Macaca mulatta: one gene and its partner. The protein of the gene in region 1 interacts with the protein of each later gene in a pairwise test. Links are inferred from orthologs where the notes say so. Each region holds a gene or a part of one and is shown on either strand. Other genes may lie near its edges. The genes, in order: MX1 and PIAS1.

Evidence for each region.
Region 2: the proteins of MX1 (region 1) and PIAS1 interact in a two-hybrid assay, tested with the Homo sapiens proteins (2 studies listed by BioGRID). The link is inferred for Macaca mulatta from reciprocal best matches to the Homo sapiens genes MX1 and PIAS1.

Annotation. Positions count from the first base shown.
Region 1 is NC_133408.1:6,018,145-6,027,254, forward strand, and holds part of MX1 (interferon-induced GTP-binding protein Mx1), read right to left. Parts: intron 9,067-9,110; coding exon 8,928-9,066; intron 8,326-8,927; coding exon 8,127-8,325; intron 6,289-8,126; coding exon 6,210-6,288; intron 4,653-6,209; coding exon 4,530-4,652; intron 4,102-4,529; coding exon 3,960-4,101; intron 1,015-3,959; coding exon 856-1,014; intron 1-855.
Region 2 is NC_133412.1:45,604,688-45,614,578, reverse strand, and holds the start of PIAS1 (E3 SUMO-protein ligase PIAS1), read right to left. Parts: upstream 5,974-9,891; 5' UTR 5,964-5,973; coding exon 5,940-5,963; intron 1-5,939. UniProt on the Homo sapiens protein: Functions as an E3-type small ubiquitin-like modifier (SUMO) ligase, stabilizing the interaction between UBE2I and the substrate, and as a SUMO-tethering factor. Catalyzes sumoylation of various proteins, such as CEBPB, MRE11, MTA1, PTK2 and PML.

The DNA of each region.
Region 1 (9,110 bases):
GTGAATTTTGAGCGTGAAGCCAGCATAGCAGTGAACAGGGTGGAGGTGTGGTGTGATAGGAAAAATAGAAATATTTTGTCTTTGTCACCAGTTCCTAACACAGAAGCCCCTACATCTCTTGGAATGTCTAGCCTGTTAAGAGTATCTTGTGTTTTTAAGAGATGATGCCCGGTGGGCCCCTACATAGCTTCAGGATTGGGGCCGGGCACTAGAAAGACCAAGCCTTGACTGGAAACTTAGAACTTCCAGCTCCACCGAGGAGGGAGGGCCTGGAGATTGAGTCAATCATCCATCATGCCTCCGCGATGAAGCCTCCATGAACCCTCCTCAGCAGTGAGGTTCTAAGAGCTCCCTGGCTGATGACCACACATCCCTGTGCCATGAGGGTGGTGCCCCCAACCCCGTGGGGACAGAAGCTTCTGTATTCAGGCCCGTATTATGTGCCTCTCCAACAGCTTCATTTGTGCCCCTTATCAAATCCTTTCTAATAGACCCGTAAATGTTAGTGAAGTGTGTTCCAGAGCTCTTGGCTGACCTGAGGAACGGGTGGCAAGAACCTTGATTTATAAACAGTCCATCAGAAGAATGGGAGGTCTGGGGCTTGTGACTGGCGTCTGCAGTTGGGGCCGGTCTTGTGGGACTGAGCCCTTTAAGCTATGGGATCCACACAGACTCAGGGCAGTGTCAGAATTGAATTGAATTGTTGAACACCAACTTGACACCTGCAGAATTAGAGGTTTGCTTGGTGGTGTGGGATGCACCCCAGGAGGAAAGTGCTGAAGTCTGGTGCTGGCTTTGGTTCGAACCTTTCCCTTCTTTAGAAATCAATGCCCAGAAGTGAAACTGAGCACTCACCCGTCACAGTGTGTAGCATATTCACAGCTGGCTCTTCCAGTGCCTTGATTTGCTGTTTTACGATTGTCTCAAATGTCCTGTAATTCACAAAGCCTGGCAGCTCTCTACCACGATACTGATTTTCAAATTTCTGCATTTTTCTACTCGTAATTTTATGGCCTATAGCAGGAAAAAAATAACACCAAATTATCTCACAAAAATAATCTTGCACATTTTTCTAAACACAATACCATTCTAGATTTTCTGAAAATATAAATGGCAAGAAAAAGTGATATCAAATCAAATCTAACTGGTAAACTAAAAATATTCAGAGATTGCACACACACACAGAAAAGCCAGATCTCAAGATAATTTTCCTTAGTCACCTCAGGAAGGGGAGTGCAGAGTCAGGTACGATGCCAGGAACCTGCACATGCAGAAACTTTGAGTAAGACCCCCTCTTTTTTTTTTTTTTTTTGAGACGGAGTCTTGCTCTGTCACCCAGGCTGGAGTGCAGTGGCGCAAACTCGGCTCACTGCAAGCTCCACCTCCTGGGTTCACGTCATTCTCCTGCCTTAGCCTCCCAAGTAGCTGGGACTACAGGTGCCCGCCACCACGCCCGGCTAATTTTTTTGTATTTTTAGTAGAGACAGGGTTTCACTATGTTAGCCAGGATGGTCTGGATCTCCTAACCTCGTGATCCACCCGTGTCAGCCTCCCAAAGTGTTGGGATTACAGGCGTGAGCCACTGTGCCTGGCCAAGACCCCTTCTTAAAAACTTACTCGAGTATGAACTGTTGTGAACCTAATTTTAGTTTTACCAAAGAAATTGTACCATAACACATTCCTTGCCCTCAACTGTATGCCCATTAGAAATGAGCATGAACACTTTCTGGAATTAACAACATGTCATATATTCGTGTGTAGAAAGTGTTTACAAGTCAAATGGGATAACAGAGTAAACCAGGTATATCAACTTGTGTGAATGTGATACAGTAGCACTGTTCACTGTGTAAGATGCTGCATTTTTCTTTAAACTTTTGGAATTGTTTGTACTCCCAACAGTCCACATAGAGAGAGTTAGCCCCATCAGAAGTTCAGAGGGTGTGAGTTCCTTTTTGAATGGTAATCTAGTACCCTTTTTCAGTCAGGAAATACTTTCCCATAAGGATTTTTCTTACTGAGATATCATTTACATAGTATAAAATTCACTCGATTGAAAGTATATGGTTCAGGCCAGGTGCGGTGGCTCACGCCCATAATCCCGGCACTTTGGGAGGCTGAGGCTGGTGGATCACTTGTGGTCAGGAGGTCAAGACCAGCCTGGCCAACATGGTGAAACCCCATCTCTACTAAAAATACAAAAATTAGCCAGGTGTGGTGGCAGGTGCCTGTAATCCCAGCTACTAGGGAGGCGGAGGCTGAAGCAGGAGAATCACTTGAACCCGGGAGGCAGAGGGTGCAGTGAGCCGAGACTGAGCCACTGCACCCCAGCCTGGGTGACACAGCAAGACCCTGTCTCCAAAGAAAAAGAAAAAGAAAAAGAAAGTGTATGTGTGAGTGAATTTTAGTATATTCACAAAGTTGTGCAACCATCCCCAGACATAACTCCCAAACCCCACACCCATCACCCATCAATGACCACTTCCCACTTTTCCCTCCCCAGCCCCTGGCAGCCACTATTCTGCTTTATGCCTGTCTGGGTTTGCCCACTCTAGCCATTTTCTATCAATGGAATCATAGAATATGATATGTGGCCTTTGTGGCTGGCTTCTTTCACTCAGCATGATGTTTTCAAGGTTCATCCATGGGGTGCTGTGGACCAGCGCTCTGTGCCTGTCTGTGGCTGGAAATATTCCAGGGCTTGGTGTTATGGGCTGAGTTTGAGTTGTGACCTCTTCAAATTCCTATGCTGAAGTCCTAACCCTCAGGAACTCAGAATCTTACTGTGTTTGGAGACAGGCAAAGAGGTAATTAAATTGAAATCAGGTCACTAGGGTAGGCCCTCATCCCATGTGCCTAGTGTCCTTGTAGGAGAAGATGAGGACACAGACACACACAGAGGGAAAACCACATGAGGACCTAGCGAGAAGACGCCATGTGCAAGGCAAGGAGAGAGGCCTTAGAAGGGACCAACTCCACCAGCAATTTGATCTTGGACTTCCAGCCTTCAGAATTGTAAGAAAATAAATTTCTACTGTTTAAGCCCCCACTAAGTCTGTGGGACTGTGTTATGGCAGCCAGAGCCAACTGCTACACACAGACACATGCCAGTTAGTTTATCGATTCATCAGCGGATGGTCATTTGGGTTCAGTGATATAGAAGAGAGCAAATGTGGCTTTAGCTGTCATCAGCTCCTTATCCTGACCATCCTCCCCAACTGCCCCACTCTCCTGTCTTAAGCCAACATACCAGGCTCACCACGCTATTGACTCATGGCTATGGTCTACATGTTAGTGTCCCCTAAAAATTCCTATGTTGAAACTCAATCCTCAGTGTAATGGTATCAACAGAGGAGATCTTTAGGAAGGATTGGGTTATGAGCACTCTGCCCTCATGAATGGGATTCCAGGCACTTCAGATACTGTAATTTTTGCAATTGAAGGTTGGTGGCAACCCCATGTCAAGCAAATCAGCACCATTTTTTCCGGTAGCACATGCTACTTTTTGTTTCTGTATCAGCAATTTTTTAGCAATAAGGTGTTTTAAACTAAGGTCCGTACATACTTTTTAGGCCTAATGTTATTACACACTTAGTAGACTACAGTATGGCATAAACGAACTGTTTATGCACCAGAAACCAAGAAGTTTATGTGACTTGCATTATTGCAATATTTGTTTTGTCTGGAACTGAACCCACAATCTCTCTGAGGTATGCCTCTGGTATCTCTGTAAAAAAGAGGTCTGAGGAAGCTTGTTCGTCCCTTATCCCATGAGAGGACACAGCTAGAAGGTGCCATCTTTGAAGCAGGGAATAAGCTCTCACCAGACACCAAATTTCCTGATTCCTTAAGAATGGATTTCTTGCCTCCAGAACAATGAGCAATAAGTTTCTACTGTTTATAAATGACCCAGTCTCAGGTATTTGGTTGTAGCAGCTCAAAGAAGGGACTAAGACACTCACCTTCTTGCAAATTGTTTTCAATTATTATACCCCATTTGTGGAACTCACGTCGGAGTCTGGTAAACAGTCGGCTGTCATCTTCCCCTACAGTTTCCTCCCCTTGTATGAGAGCAGTGATGTCCTGATTAAAGGCATTAATTTTCTGTCAAGAAGAAAAACATCAGTATAAGCGGATAGACTTCAAATCCAAGGTCAAGGTCGTTTGGAGGCCGTGCCTATGTGGAGGGTAGGGAGTCATTCTTTGCTTCCTTATGGGACACTGTGGATCAGAGGAAAGCAGAGGTTTTGGCACCAGAAAATCCTATCCCACCCCTTACTGCCTTAAGGATCTGGGCAATGATCATGACAGAGCGGTCACAATGCAGCCTGAGCATCCCTCACTGCTGACTCCCCCCGCACACCCGCACTCCCTGCCCTGCCTCCCTCAGCCCTGTCCACTCTTTGAGTGCGACGGGCCAGATGTCTTTGGATCAGCCTCGGGGGAGTGAAGAAGGAAGTGCGTGAGGCCCAGGGCCCCTTTTCTGACCATGACATGTGCTTCTCCAGCTCCATGTAGCTGGCAACACTCACGTCTATCAGAAAGAACATTTTTTCATTTTCATCTTCCGGTATGTCGACACCATACTTTTGTAGCTCCTCTGTTATTCCCTGGTGACTCTCCTTGATTTGATTTTCTAACAGCGGCAGAGATTTCTGAGGAAAACGGAGAGAAAATAATGGGAATTGATAAAGATGAACAGGGAATGAAAAGGAGGTCCCGGGCCTCCCTCTACATAGGAGCTGTGTGGGCCATTTGACTTCCTGGCTTCCTCTAAAAGGAAGCTTTTCCAGACCTGGGGGGCAGGGGGACACACGCTAGGGGCACTGTTTCCTGCCCAGGTCTTCCCCCTTCCCGACTCCTGCGGCAGCAGCCTCATGAGCAGCACTGAGGCACCCACTGTGCATGGGTGCCGGGCCCTGGTAGAGCGACCCAGGGGCAGTTCCTCCTGTCGTCGAATTAGGTAAACTCTCTGGAGGGAGACTGGGGAGATCCACTTGTTTAGTAGGTTCTGAAGAAGTGGCATTTGGAGCAATTGGAGATTCAACAACTTTTATGTTGTTTGCAATCAATAAAAAGTGATCAGAGACTTATGTTTTTAACAATACGGTTGGCACCATGTGCTGGCTCACACTTCCATAGCAAACATCTAACAATGCCGGCTGACATGTGAAAGCCGTACCTTTAAAATGTATCGGTGGGCTGACAAGCTAGTGAGGGGTACTCAGATGCCAGCCCCAGTAACAGTGGCCAAGGAGGGGCTCAAGAAGGAGGCAGCAATGGAGCCTATCTCAGCCGCAAGGGCATCTGTCTAGGTAAGAAAACTCAAACGTAAACCTACGAGCCTGACTTGGTACAATGGCAAAAAAAAAAAAACCCATGGGCTTGCTTGAGGTGGGGAATCTAATAAGGAACCATCCCTTTTCTGCATACAATGGGACCCCAAAGAGCTCTGCACTCATCACAGTCAGCTGGAAAACAAACCCATTCTGCACCCACATTCCTGGGGACCACGGGGAAGACCTTGCACTCTGGTGCTGAGTTGAAAATTTGAAAAAGGCCAGCCTGGCCAACATGGCGAAACCCTGACTCTACTAAAAATACAAAAATTAGCTGGGCATGGTGGTGTGCACCTGTAATCCCAGCTACTCAGAAGGCCGAGGTATGAGAATGGCTTGAACCCAGGAGGCAGAGGTTGCAGTGAGCCAAGATCACGCCACCGCACTCCAGCCTGGGCAATAGAGAGAGAGACTCTGTCTCAAAAAAAAAAAAAAAAAGAAAAAGAAAATTTGAAAAAGGAAGAGACTACATTCAGGCAGATTTTTAAAAAGAACCACAGAGCTTTTACAAAGCTTTTAGAAGTTAAAAAATACGTTCGTTAGAATGACTAAGACATTATAATAGTGGTTGTCAATGGGAAAGGAAGAGTTAGTAGCTTGTGCATAAGATTTTAATTTTTATTTTGGCCCAGTTGAGATAGTCTGTCAGCATCCCCCCAGACTGTGGTCCCCTGAAAAGCAGTATCCGCATCGTCTGGGAGCTTGCTGGAAATGCAGAATCCTAGCCCGCACTCCAGACCCACAGAATCTGAATCTGCATCTTAACAAGATCCTCAGAAGATCTGTGTGTACAGCGATGTTTAAGCAGCCAGCAAGGTTCAGCTGTGTTTGTAGTATTCTTTTCAGAGAACCCACAGCTCTGCCCGTGCTTACACAGATGTGTGTGATGAGCTCGCTGGTAAGTTTCTCTGCCAGGCAGGGAATCGTGGCCTTGCCTTCCTCCAGCAGATCCCTAGAAGAGAACACAAGAATGTTTTCCACCTTGATGTAGCCAGAACACGCATGTCTGCCTTCTGCTGTTGGGAAAAGTCAAGGTGAATTTCAGTTGTTTACAACTGGATGGAATGTCTTGCAATTGGTACCCAACAAATACTCAGAATTGGATTGAATAGGATTATGACTGAATTTTAGCAATCTAGGATATTTCAACAATGATATGGAATAAGCCCTTCCAGCTGATATAATAAATGTGTATCATGGTATTTGACTCTAGACTTGGTCATCACAAAAATACACAGGCATGTATAGACACGTTTATATAACACATACCCCCTTCTATGTGTAATATGTGTAGGTAATCATAATGGATAGAGACATATCTTCATACGAATACATTGAAGCATCCTGAGATAAATGGGTAGCAGAACACTGAGGAGAAGAGACACAAGATATCTTGTCCAAGATAAAAACTTAAACCATGGGCTGCCTGGAGGAAGGAAGTCAAGCATCTTCTCACCCGATCCAAAACTTGTGCTCCCAGGGTATTATTACAGGGTTTCCCACATTTTATAGGACATTTTAGGATAAAGGAAGCAGCGAAGCATGAGTTTCTGTGCCTTTTTGTGAGAGTATAGTCATACCTAAGCTTCAGTTTCTCTGTCAATTTTTCTAGATTGTAGTAAAACACATACAACATAAAATTGACCATTTAACCATCTTTAAGAGTACACTTGAGTGGCATTAAATACGTTCACACTATTATGCAACCATCACCACTGTCTTCAGAACTTTTCATATTCCCAAACTGAAACAATGGCCCCATTAAACACTACCTCCCCATTCTCTCTCTCCCAGCCCCTGGCACCCACCATTCTTTCTGTCTCTATGAATCTTACTACTCCAGGGACCTCAGCTAAGTGGAATCAGACAGTATCCATCCTCTTATGACTGGGTTCTTTAACTTAGTAGAATGTTCCCAAGCTTCATCCATGTTGTAGCATGTGTCGGAATGCCCTTGCCTTTCTAAGGCTGAAAGTATTCCACGTTTTTGTACAGACCACATTGCTTTCTGCATCCGTCCGTCAATGACACTGAGTCATCTCATCTTTTGGCTATTGTGAATGTGCAGAACAGCATGTAAGTTTCTGTTTGATATTTCTGGAATTCTGAGTAATGGTTCTCTGTAGGCTTCTGGGAGAACTGAATGCAAGAATGTTTACAACTCTACATAGTCTCATCATTTTAAATCTTACCAATTTATCAGTCTTTTCCTTTCAAAAAATGTCACTTTTGGCAGGAGGGATAGAAAGGCCTTATGAACTATTCACCTACCTTTTCTTCTGGGATGCTTATTGCTTCCTTTTAATGTTTGACTTTAAACTTTAACTATTTTGGTATAATGAGGTAAGAGCAGTATTTTAATTTTTTTCCCAAATATTAATTAGCCCAACACCATTAATAGATAATCAAGCTGATATAGTCCACTATTTGATTTGAAATGCTGCGTTTATCATGTATCAAATATATATATCCAGGTCTATTTCTGGACTTTCTACTTTTCTGTTCATGTTTTTATAAAATATGGTTCTAGCACCATACTATTTAAATTATTGTACATTGTTCTCTCCCTATTTTGATTTTGATTGGTTTTTAGTTTTTTTTTTTTTTTGGGGGGGGGCAGTATTTTGTAATCCCCTTTCTATTCTTCTAGCTGAATTCCATAGTCCTTGTTGGGGAACAGGCATAGTCACACACACACTCCACACATCTGTGGGACGGCTGCCACTTTCCCCAGGAAGGCCTGACATCCTGGGCTTGGACTGATCTGTGATGAAACCCAGGCGAGCGCACCTGAAATGTGGGTGGTCCTCAAAGAAGATCTTCTCTCTCTGCAGGGCTTCGGACAGGCTCAGCTGGTCCTGGATCTCCTGCTGGCCGCGGCACTTGACGATCATGTAGCCCTTCTTCAGGTGGAACACGAGGTTCCGCACCACATCCACAACCTTGTCTTCAGTTCCTTTGTCCACCAGATCAGGCTTCGTCAAGATTCCTGCGAGCCAGATGTATTTGGGGAGAGAACGTGCCCAGTCACGAGGCAGAGGTGAATGAACAACCGCTCATACCCCCAGTCTCCCAGGGTTTCCTCCCATCCTTGCTTGAGGGCAGGCCATGGGCCCTGCAGAACCATGGGGCCAGTGGAGCCCCGCTCCAGAAAAGAACTCCGTGGCAAGCCACGTGAAGGCAGGAATGCCTCCCGGAACAGTGTGTGGCTCTCCCCAAGCTCCTTCACCCGGGTCCACTGTAGAACACGCCACATTTTGTTTGTCCCTTGAGTTATGGACATCCCATCTCAAACACATTCTTAATGAATACCATGTGCTTCCTGAGTTGCCCTGCTTCCGAACCCACTGTGCCTTTCTGAGCAAGTAGATAAGGGTTACAAGGTAACCTAGCCAGTGAAAGTCAACAGCAGCTCATTTCGCTTGGCCTTGGTGGGCACCAAACCTGCCCCCTTAGCAGGTCTTAGTGGAGGCAGGTCCCCACTGAGCAAAGCCCATGGAGACTGGAGGGACACTTGCCCACTGGCAGACCACTGAGCACAGGCGGGCTCCCCCATTCTCACCGAGCACGGATGGGCTTCCCCATTCTCACCGATGGTCCTGTCTCCCTCGGGGTCCACCTCCTGGGCCATGCTCAGCGCCTCTGTGGTGGCGATGTCCACGTTACTGGGGACCACCACCAGGTTGATCGTCTCCTGCCTCTGGATGTACTTCCTGATGAGTGTCTTGATCTGTAAGGAAATGAGAGGAGGTGACTCCTGAGTATGGCAAAGGC
Region 2 (9,891 bases), on another chromosome or scaffold:
GCAAGACTCCGTCTCAAAAAAACAAACAAACAAAAAAAACTGATAAGCATCTAAATAAGGTACAAAAACTTGCAATATTTGATCACTGTGATATAATTTCCAAAATCAAACATACTTGCATACTTGAAATTCTACTATTCATAGAATAGTATGAATAGATTATAAAATACTATTTCACAAGCAGTTTCATACTTTATCAAACATTCTGATGCCGAAGTAATGTTTGCTTACATTTTGTAAAACCTGTATCTGCCATCATTTAATAATCTTATCTCACACATTACAGAAACATAAACAATAAAGCTATGACAATGAACAAACCAAGAATGACTAATTTATTTCTCTGAAAACATTTTATCTAACTTGCAGAGTGGGCGCAGTGGCACAGTGCCTCACACCTGTAAAAACCATTTGCAGGCTGAGCACAGTGGCAGAGTGCCTCACACCTGTAATCCCAACACTTTGGGAGGCCGAGGCAGCATTGCTTGAGGCCAGTAGTTTGAGACCAGCCTGGGCAACACAGCGAGACCCCTGTCTCTAGAAAAATAAAAGAAACATTTGTATTGCTTTCTTTTTTTTTTGAGACAGAATCTCACACTGTCGCCCAGGCTGGAGTCCAGTGGCACAATCTCGCTGCCACCTCTGTCTCCCAGGTTCAAGCAATTCTCCTGCCTCAGCCTCCTGAGTAGCTGAGATTACAGGCGCCTGCCACCATGCCCAGTTAATTGTTTGTATTTTTAGTAGAGATGGGGTTTCACTATGTTGGTCAGGCTGGTCTTGAACTCCTGACCTCGTGATCCACCCGCCTTGGCCTCCCAAGGTGTTGGGATTACAGGCATGAGCTGTGAGTCACGGTGTCCAGCCTGCACTGCTTTCTAAAGCACAAAAAAGATCTGTCATATCAATATATTTAGTTAAAATAAAACATCTGCAAACTTTGGCACAAGGCTGCAAAGACACTGCAAAAAAAGTAGAATAATCTAAGCCTGGCACGGTGGTTCACGCCTGTAATCCCAGCACTTTGGGAGGCCGAGATGGACGAATCACAAGGTCAGGAGATCGAGACCATCCTGACTAACACGGTGAAACCCCATCTCTACTAAAAAAATACAAAAAAATTAGCAGGGTGTAGTGGCGGGTGCCTATAGTCCCAGCTACTCCAGAGGTTTAGGCAGGAGAATGGTGTGAACCCGGCAGGTGGAGCTTGCAGTGAGTCAAGATCATGCCACTGCACCCCAGCCTGGGCAACAGAGCAAGACTCCGTCTCAAAATAACAAACCAAAAAAAAAAAGTAGACTAATCTGATAGGGACTATTTGAACAAAATACAATGTAAGCTTTCAAATGATCGTACAGCCCTGTATTTACTAATCTGGATAGACATGAAAATAGCAGATTATAAATAAAAAATAGTGTTGTATCTTTTTGTGATGAATATACATATACATATGCTCACAGAGAGAAAATCTAAATGCATAAATACCCAGATGTTAACCATGATATTTCTGAGTGTTGGGGTTACAGGTACTGTTTATTTTTCTGCTTACTTTTCAGATTCTCTGAAATTTTCCCAAGCAAAATGACACTTACAAAAATTAATGTGTATGATTCCAACTAACAAACTCCAAACTTTTTGAAAGGAAGCTTGCAAAATGCCCTAGGAATATCCAAAAATACCCTAGCATAGAGCTTTCCCAAAAGGGAAAGTATCAGCAACAACATAAGTAGAAATTTTTGTGAACTGGGCACCCTAGAGGACTCCAGGTCTGCTGTAGTACCTTTAAGGAGGCCTACACAAGACGTAGGCTCAAGTCCCTGCCACTTTTATTTGTATGACCTTGCAATAGTCACTTACCCTTTCTGGGCTCACTTTCTCTATCTATAAAAAGGATTTAGTTATCACTCGCCTTTCCTACCTCAAAGAACTGCTGGAAAGATCAAAAGAGATAATGCAATATATTATGAACTGCAAAGTACTATATAAATAAGATATTATTATTCAAACATTAAAAAAGCAAGATGCTTCATGCCAGGGTCAAATACTTCAGAAAACACCACAGCCAACTCTATGAAGTAATGAATCCGTTTTTGGTCATTGTTTTTTAAAGGCTACATCTCATCATAAACACCCAGTTTTTCTGGGACTTGGATACTTTTTCCCAGTTCCCACTACAACCATTGGCCACTTTATTTTCTTATCCCTGGTTACCAGCAAGAAAGGGTACAAATTATACTAAACTCAAAAGCCTCAGCAAGAACCCTGGAGCAGCATGCTGATGGAGTTCACCAGGAGAAACCCAAGGTTAATCAGCTATGGACTCAAGCACTACTGCAATCAACAGGGATTACAAGAGACTCTTTGAAGAGAAAGACAATGCAATCGCCCAGGAGAAAACGGTGGATAAAAAGAAGGCAGTATTTCAAAACAATCATATGAAATACTTAGAAACTATACTGTAGTATTTTATAAACTATACTGTAGTGTTTTTTAAATACTGTTCATAAAAATAATGACATAAAACAAAAGCCATCTAAATGTGGCACTTGACAAAGGCAAGTTACAGAGATTCAAATCAAATCCATGAATAAACTGTCAGACGTACTTGCCTCTATCTGAAATAAAAGCAGACAAATTACAGCGTAAGGATCAAAATTAAGTGGCTATTTCTTGAAAATAAAGAGGCAGAAAAGAACAATAGAATTCACTAACACACTTATAGGAACTTTTATAATTATGGTTTCTCTTTCCATTTAATTTAATTATTTACTCCACTAAAATGACGATGAGCTTCTTCTCTCCCACTCTTCTTCCTGTAAATTAAAATGGCAATATAATTTGGTTTGAGTTTTACTCCAAAAAAAAACCATATTTTTTTTAAAAGTACTTTAAGAGGAGCTGCATGAAGCTGTCAGCTTATTAACCACCAAGATCATCTGGCCATCACACCCTCCTGCTTCTAAGTTCCTAAAGATGACAAAATACCCTCCACATTCTTAAAATGTCATTTATGGGTATTCCCCTAATGAAAAATTAAGCCTTTCATAAACAAATGTGCATAGAGAATTCCTTTTGATATGTATGATTCACAATCTAATTTTTATTGGCAATATCTTGAAGTGTTGCAGCTTGCGCAATTCCTACAGGGGATAAAGATCTATCCGTTTTCCCATCTGATCTTTGCAGATTTCTTATAGATTTAAAAGGACTCACTAAAAAAGCCATGAGGAAAATAATTATGAATACACAGCAAAATGAAGTATGGGGCTGAAACCTAAGATAATGAAAAGTCACTGAATGTTATGCAAAGCTTCACAGTTGAAGTACTCTATTCCCATTTAAAATTTCAAAAAAACTAGATTTTCTTCTTACTGATTTTTCGTATATTAGGAATGCATATTTACCTCCAAAAAATCACAAACAAAAAGCCTTCCGAAAATATCATTTCCAAAAGGAGTATCTGCCAAACCTTACTGCACAGAAAATTATATATACACATTCTTTTTTAACACATTCTCAAATAACTATGGTAGGCGTTCCTGAGATCACCTCCTCCACCCCCCAAAAAAAGAACAGCAAATCTAACCACAATAAAGTATTAACCAAATTTTTTTAATGCAGTTATCACCAGCTAAGCAATTTATCACACAGCTCCTCAAAGTCTCAGACACACACAATGACATACCAACATGTCAAAACAGTTATTATAATTTGAAAAATTATACAACAGGAACATAAAAGTAGAAAAAAAAAACTTCCTCTGGAAAAACTCAAGTAGATTTGGGAGAGAGCAAAAAACGAGACTAATTTTAGAAAAATAACATTTCTTCAAGTGTTTGGTGTTTATCTGATACTGGTTCACTTTCGTAAAGAGAAACTTTACCTAACAAGACTCACACCAGGGTTCTAATCCATCCCCAAAGGCACTTTCTTAAAATGAGAAAGAACAAAGAAGGAAATCTCTCAGCATGTGCTTTCCATACTAGTTTCTTTGGACAGCATCAAGAGTGACAATATAGTCTGCACAAGCTTTTCGGCTTTATTCTATGGTCCATGTATAACAACTGATTAGCTATCATTCAAAAGAACTCCTAACAAAATAAATATTAGAAGGCAAAGATCACAGCAACATGATGACTCTATCATAAGAGAAAAATCATAGAAAACATGTCTTAAAGTTGTGTGCTTTTTTTTTTATTTCAAGGGTTAACTATCTCCAAATATTCAAATTCCTAAGGCTTTCTCATTTCAGTCAATAGTTTGAAACTGGAGAAAACCCAAAACCATCCATTCTAAATCTGCTCTCCCTTAAATAAAGTTGTAATTATAAGTACATTTTAAATGAATGACACTCAAAGCCAATACTTTAATACATAAATCTTGGAGTGTAAACATTGTGAAGTTATTAGGAGAAAAGATCTTTCGGTGAGGATATTCCACAGGAAAAACTCTACAGAATCAAATCTGGCATTTGGTTGTTCTAGAAGTTGTCGTTTCATTATAACGGAGAAAAAAATTAAATAATTTGTATTAATTATAAAAAGAAGACTCTCTCCAAAGATTTACAATTGTATATCCCAATCTCCACTCTGACAGAGATGTCAGTTCTCTGGGTCGAGACATAACCAGCTGCTGGGTTCACACACACAGGAAGCCACAGAGAAGATCGCGTTCAGAGCCTCGAAATAATACGCGTTAGTTAAGAACTGCCTGCTACTAAACCAAAATTATTCAAGCGGAGCCCCATTTGTCACAATCCAATCATAAGGGTTCCACCCCCCCTCCCCCAACTGCTTGTGTAGTGGTATATCTGCTTCGGTAAAGAAGCCATCATCAGGTAAAGATTGGGGTGGGAGAAAAGCGGGGAAAAGGGGGCACCCTTTCATCTAATTTCGTGAGGCGTGAGTAATTGGTACAGTTAAGAGGAACGTTCTATTTATCGGGGGTTAGAGTAGCATGAGGGGAGAATTTCGTTCAAATCAACATGGCCAGCAAGATGTCCCTACAAACAAAAGGCAATGGGGGGATATAAACACGAACCATTCACCTCCATCAGCTACAGCATCGCCATCATGGTGTGTGCAGAGACCCCCAAAGGCTCCTCTCACCCTCCACACCAGCCAAGGCAAGAGAAGGGAGAGAGGTAGCTACATCCCCCTCTCCCAACACTGCTTCCAAAGACACACTCTTCGAGGGGGTTTCTCCCCTCGGCTGCCCGGAATCAGAGAGAGAGTAACGTCCCGCCCAGGCTGACTCTCCCCCGCTACCTCTCAGCCGAACCCCAATGCCGGCCCGGGGCTCGCTAAACTTTACCAGAGCTTCTCCCCCCAGATCCCCACCCTATCGCCCCGGGATCGCGCTTCCCTCAAGCGGGGCACCCCAGGCGCTTCCTGAAAGCGAGCAGCCGGGGAGAGCCGAGTCCGGGGCGGGGGCGACAGGGATCCACGGAGGGGCGGGGCGGCCGGAGCCAAGTTCCCGGGGGTCTGAGAAGAGCGCCTGACAGGAGCCCGGGACTGCAAAGGAGGAAGAGGAAGCGGCCACGGGGAGCTTTCCCAATCCCCCCTACAAGAGCACCCTGCCCCCAGCCCCAGCTCCCCATGGGGGGCGGGGAGGCTAACTAGAAGGTGAAAAAGCCGAGCCCAGGAGACAGCTGCAGCCCCTACCTCCCGACTCCCTATCTCTTCCCCCGCCACCCCCGCCAGAGGCGCCCACAACAATAACACGCCGGGGACGACCCGTCAGCGCCCCCGAGGCACCCGGGGCCCGCGGCCCGCCGCAGGCGGGCCCCCTCTGCTGAGACCGGGCGCGCCTCTCTCCCTACAACTCCAGGCCCGGGTGGAGTCAGGCCCGAGCGGCCCCCCAGGGTCGGACCCATCCCCCCAGGCACCAGAGGCGCCGTCTCCGCGGCCGAATATTAGAAGTGAATTCGAGCTGCGCTTTACCTTTAGTTCCGCACTGTCCGCCATCTTGCGTCTGTCAGCGCAAGCGCAGTGAACCTCGCCGGGGGCCGCCGCTAGACCCGCCCCTCTAGCCGGCCTGGCCCCGCCCCGGCCCGCCCCTCCACCTTCCCAGCCCGCCTCTGGCCTCCGCCCCGCTTAGGGCGCTGGAAGCCCCGCCCCGGACACGTACAACTGCGAGACAGGCACGTTCTATTTAAATAATGGCGCCAAGCGGCGAGGTTTGACAGTTACTACCCCCTCGGCTTCCCAGCCCCCCCATCCTCTCTCGGCCAGCGCCTCCCGGGAAGGGCAGGGGCGAGAGGGATGCTGGCCTGAGCCCCATCTCTCCGCGGTCCGTGGAACGCTTCTGCATAGCTTCGACGCCTACGGTCACAGAAACAATGCTGTCCTCCAACCCCTAATAAGCAAGGCTTTTTCAGCACCTGCTACTTGCGAGGCTACCAGTGGGCTAAAAATAGAAATCCGTTACATTTAAGGGGCCCTTAATGAAGCATTTCTAGCATTATTGGCTCAGATCCTCCTCTTGATAACGCGGTGAGGTAGGCAAGGAAGAGATAATTCCCAGGGTATAGATTCAGAAATGAAAGCTCAGAAAGGAAAAGTGACTTGCACAAACAAGAATTTTTGCGAGGTGGCGTAAGACAAAATTTTGAAGGTGTTCATTAACATTTTTGTTTTAAAAAAATGTATTTAGTGACTATCTGTTGGCTTTGTGCTAACGGCTAAATATACATTGGGGAATCAAAGTCCCTGCCCTTCTGTAGTTCTCTAATGGGGAATCAGACAAGTGAACGAACAAAGATACAATTTCAAATGTTATTTTTTGAGTACCAGAAGGGAGCAAACGGTCCATTGAGAAAGAAGAAGGGTTTGGGAGATGTACTTAATTCTGGGAGAGTTTTATCCACTAAATTGACATTTAAGTAGACTTGATGGAAGGATTATTTCATTCTTTTTTGTCTCTACTAAAAGCCTTCTGGGCCGGGCGCGGTGGCTCAAGCCTGTAATCCCAGCACTTTGGGAGGCCGAGACGGGCGGATCACGAGGTCAGGAGATCGAGACTATCCTGGCTAACACGGTGAAACCCCGTCTCTACTAAAAAATACAAAAAACTAGCCGGGCGAGGTGGCGGGCGCCTGTGGTCCCAGCTACTCGGGAGGCTGAGGCAGGAGAATGGCCTGAACCCGGGAGGCGGAGCTTGCAGTGAGCTGAGATCCGGCCACTGCACTCCAGCCTGGGCGACAGAGCCAGACTCAGTCTCAAAAAAAAAAAAGAAAATTGGTCTCTCTCTCATGATTTTTTGTAAAACCAGATAACTCAGTTTTGTTTTAGTGAACATGGGTGACACCATTTTGATTTTTAGTCTGGTCTGGAGGCCTGATGCAGGAATTTGGTTCAAAACAATGGCATCCTGTGATTTTTATTTAACAATTAACCTAGGTGAAATTGTGACACTAAGACGGAGGGCGTTAGCACTACCCTCACTTAACATCATTCTGGTTTTCTAGTCTCCACACATCATTTATAGATTACAGTGTCCTCACGATTATGCATTTCTGTCATTGCAGGTGAAGAGAGACCACTTGACATTCAACAGTTGGCTGTATACAAACATTTAAAACTTTTTGAGAGAACATAGTTGAGAATTATGACTATCAGGTGGACAATGCCAAGAGTTCAGAGTATGCTTCTTAGCTAGGGTTGCCATAAACCAAACCAACTAAAATCATATAGATCAAAGAATGAGCCAGATGAGAAATCTACCTGTTTTAACCAAGTAGCCTGCTAACTTTTTGAAACTGAGTCTCTATAATACCAGATTATGTACAACAACAAGTGTCAGCAACAGCACAGATTTCCCCCTGTTTGGTTAGTAGGTAGCCATTCTGTCATCTAGCATCTCAGGAATTGGTTAAATTGAAGCAAAGAGTGCTAACTCTACAAAAGAGGCCACTAGTAAAATTTGAACAAACAGTTGCATTAGGGATGTTGCTAAAGTTACCCACTAGGTGGAATAAAAGCTCTCTTGGGTCCTGTAAAGGTTTGGGTTTGACATGTTACACTTTATCAACTTGCCCACAAAAACAACTGATTGTGAAATTTTAACTACAGCATTATCCTGCCAAGTGGAACAGGTGGGCAAAAGCAAGAAAAAATTAAGAAGGGAAAGAGTCTTATTATGGTAGCGAGTCTTCTTCTGACAGTCTTGGAAAACACTGTCCACAACATGATGTCAGCAATTTCTCGTCCTGGTTTGCAGTTTAAATGTCTCTGGCTGTGGCATCAGGTGTTCTGCCGAACCCTCTGTGTGGTTCCCTCATCAAGCATGGGACTTATCCCTTGAAATTTATATCGAGTTGTTCAGCTTAGCAGTTTTTGTTCATGGTTGGAGAATTGTAGTCAGATATTGAAGGCAATGAGAAATCAGGATCCAGTCTAGTCTATAGATATATGATAAAAACTCAAAAACAATGAACAAAGCTGCAATCTAATAACAGGTGTATTATAGTTTTCATCAGAAACATAATTTTTCTCTCTACAGTCATTCCCGTTTCCACCAAAGATAATCATAGTAAGACCAATTTGTTTTTTTAAATGATTTTAGTTTCAAACTTGACCTGATTATTTACATAAGTGCAGCAAGAATAACCACATAAGCTTGTTTTAAATTTATTTTGCTGGAAATGGTGACGACGAGTCTCAGATTGGACTTTTAAAAACCTCTTGATGTTAGGAAGTCAAACCAAGGCAGACATCAGACTTTGCCTGCAATATCTAATATCTTGAGGTTTCTGGGCCTGCCTGAAAGTGACAACTGTTGTTCACTATAAGGCTGAGAACCCTTGAAAATTGGCATTCTATGATTCTATGCAGATTTTAAAATATGATGTTGCTATATATATATGAATATATATATATGAATGATATGGTTTGGCCCTGTGTCACCAACCAAATGTCACCTTGAATTGTAATAATTCCCAGGTGTCAAGGGCAGGACTAGGTGGATATAATTGAATCATTATCAATTCAATTGATAATGAATGAATGAACAGCACTGGTGGCGGGGTGGGGGGGCGGGAATCCCTCCATGCTGTGCTTGTGATAGTGAGTTCTCAGGAGATCTTATGGTTTTATAAGGGGCTTCCCCCTTTGCTCGGCAACCATTCTCTCTCCTGCCACCCTGTGAAGAGGTACCTTCTACCAGGATTGTAAGTTTCCTGAGGCATTCCCAGCCATGCAGAACTGAGTCAATTAAACCTCTTTTCTTTATAAATTACCCAGTCCCAGGTATGTCTTCGTAGCAGCGTGAGAACAGACTAATACAATATGACACTGCAATCAAAGCTTTGGTAATGTAACCAATATTTCCAGTTGTATTTTGTTAAAGAGAAGAGCTTCTTATTGAACTTATGCAAATAACTATATTGTCATAAAAATAAGAATCTTCATGATTAGTTTACAAATGTTGGAGGAATTAAGTAGGAAGGAAAAGCAAATGTTTGAATTTTTGTTTGCGAAAGTATGCCTTACCAAATTGCTATAAGCTATCAGTAGCTTAAAAGAAAAAAGGTTTTCTTAAATATTGAAAAAGAAAACCTATTAAAAGAGAGCCAGCAAGGTTTCAAATTTTATTTATTTTTCTTTCTTTCTTTTTTTTTTTTTTTTTTTTTTTTTTTTGAGACAGAGTCTTGCTCTTTTACCCAGGCTGGAGTACAGTGGCACAATATTGGCTGACTGCAACCTCCGCCTCCAGGATTCAAGTGATTCTCTTGCCTCAGCCTCCTGAGTAGCTGGGATTACAGGTGCCCAGCACCATGCCTGGCTAATTTTTGTATGTTTTGTAGAGACAGGGTTTCTTCATGTTGCCCAGGCTGGTCTTGAATTCCTGAACTCAAGCGATCCACCCACCTTGGCCTCCCAAAGTGCAGGGATT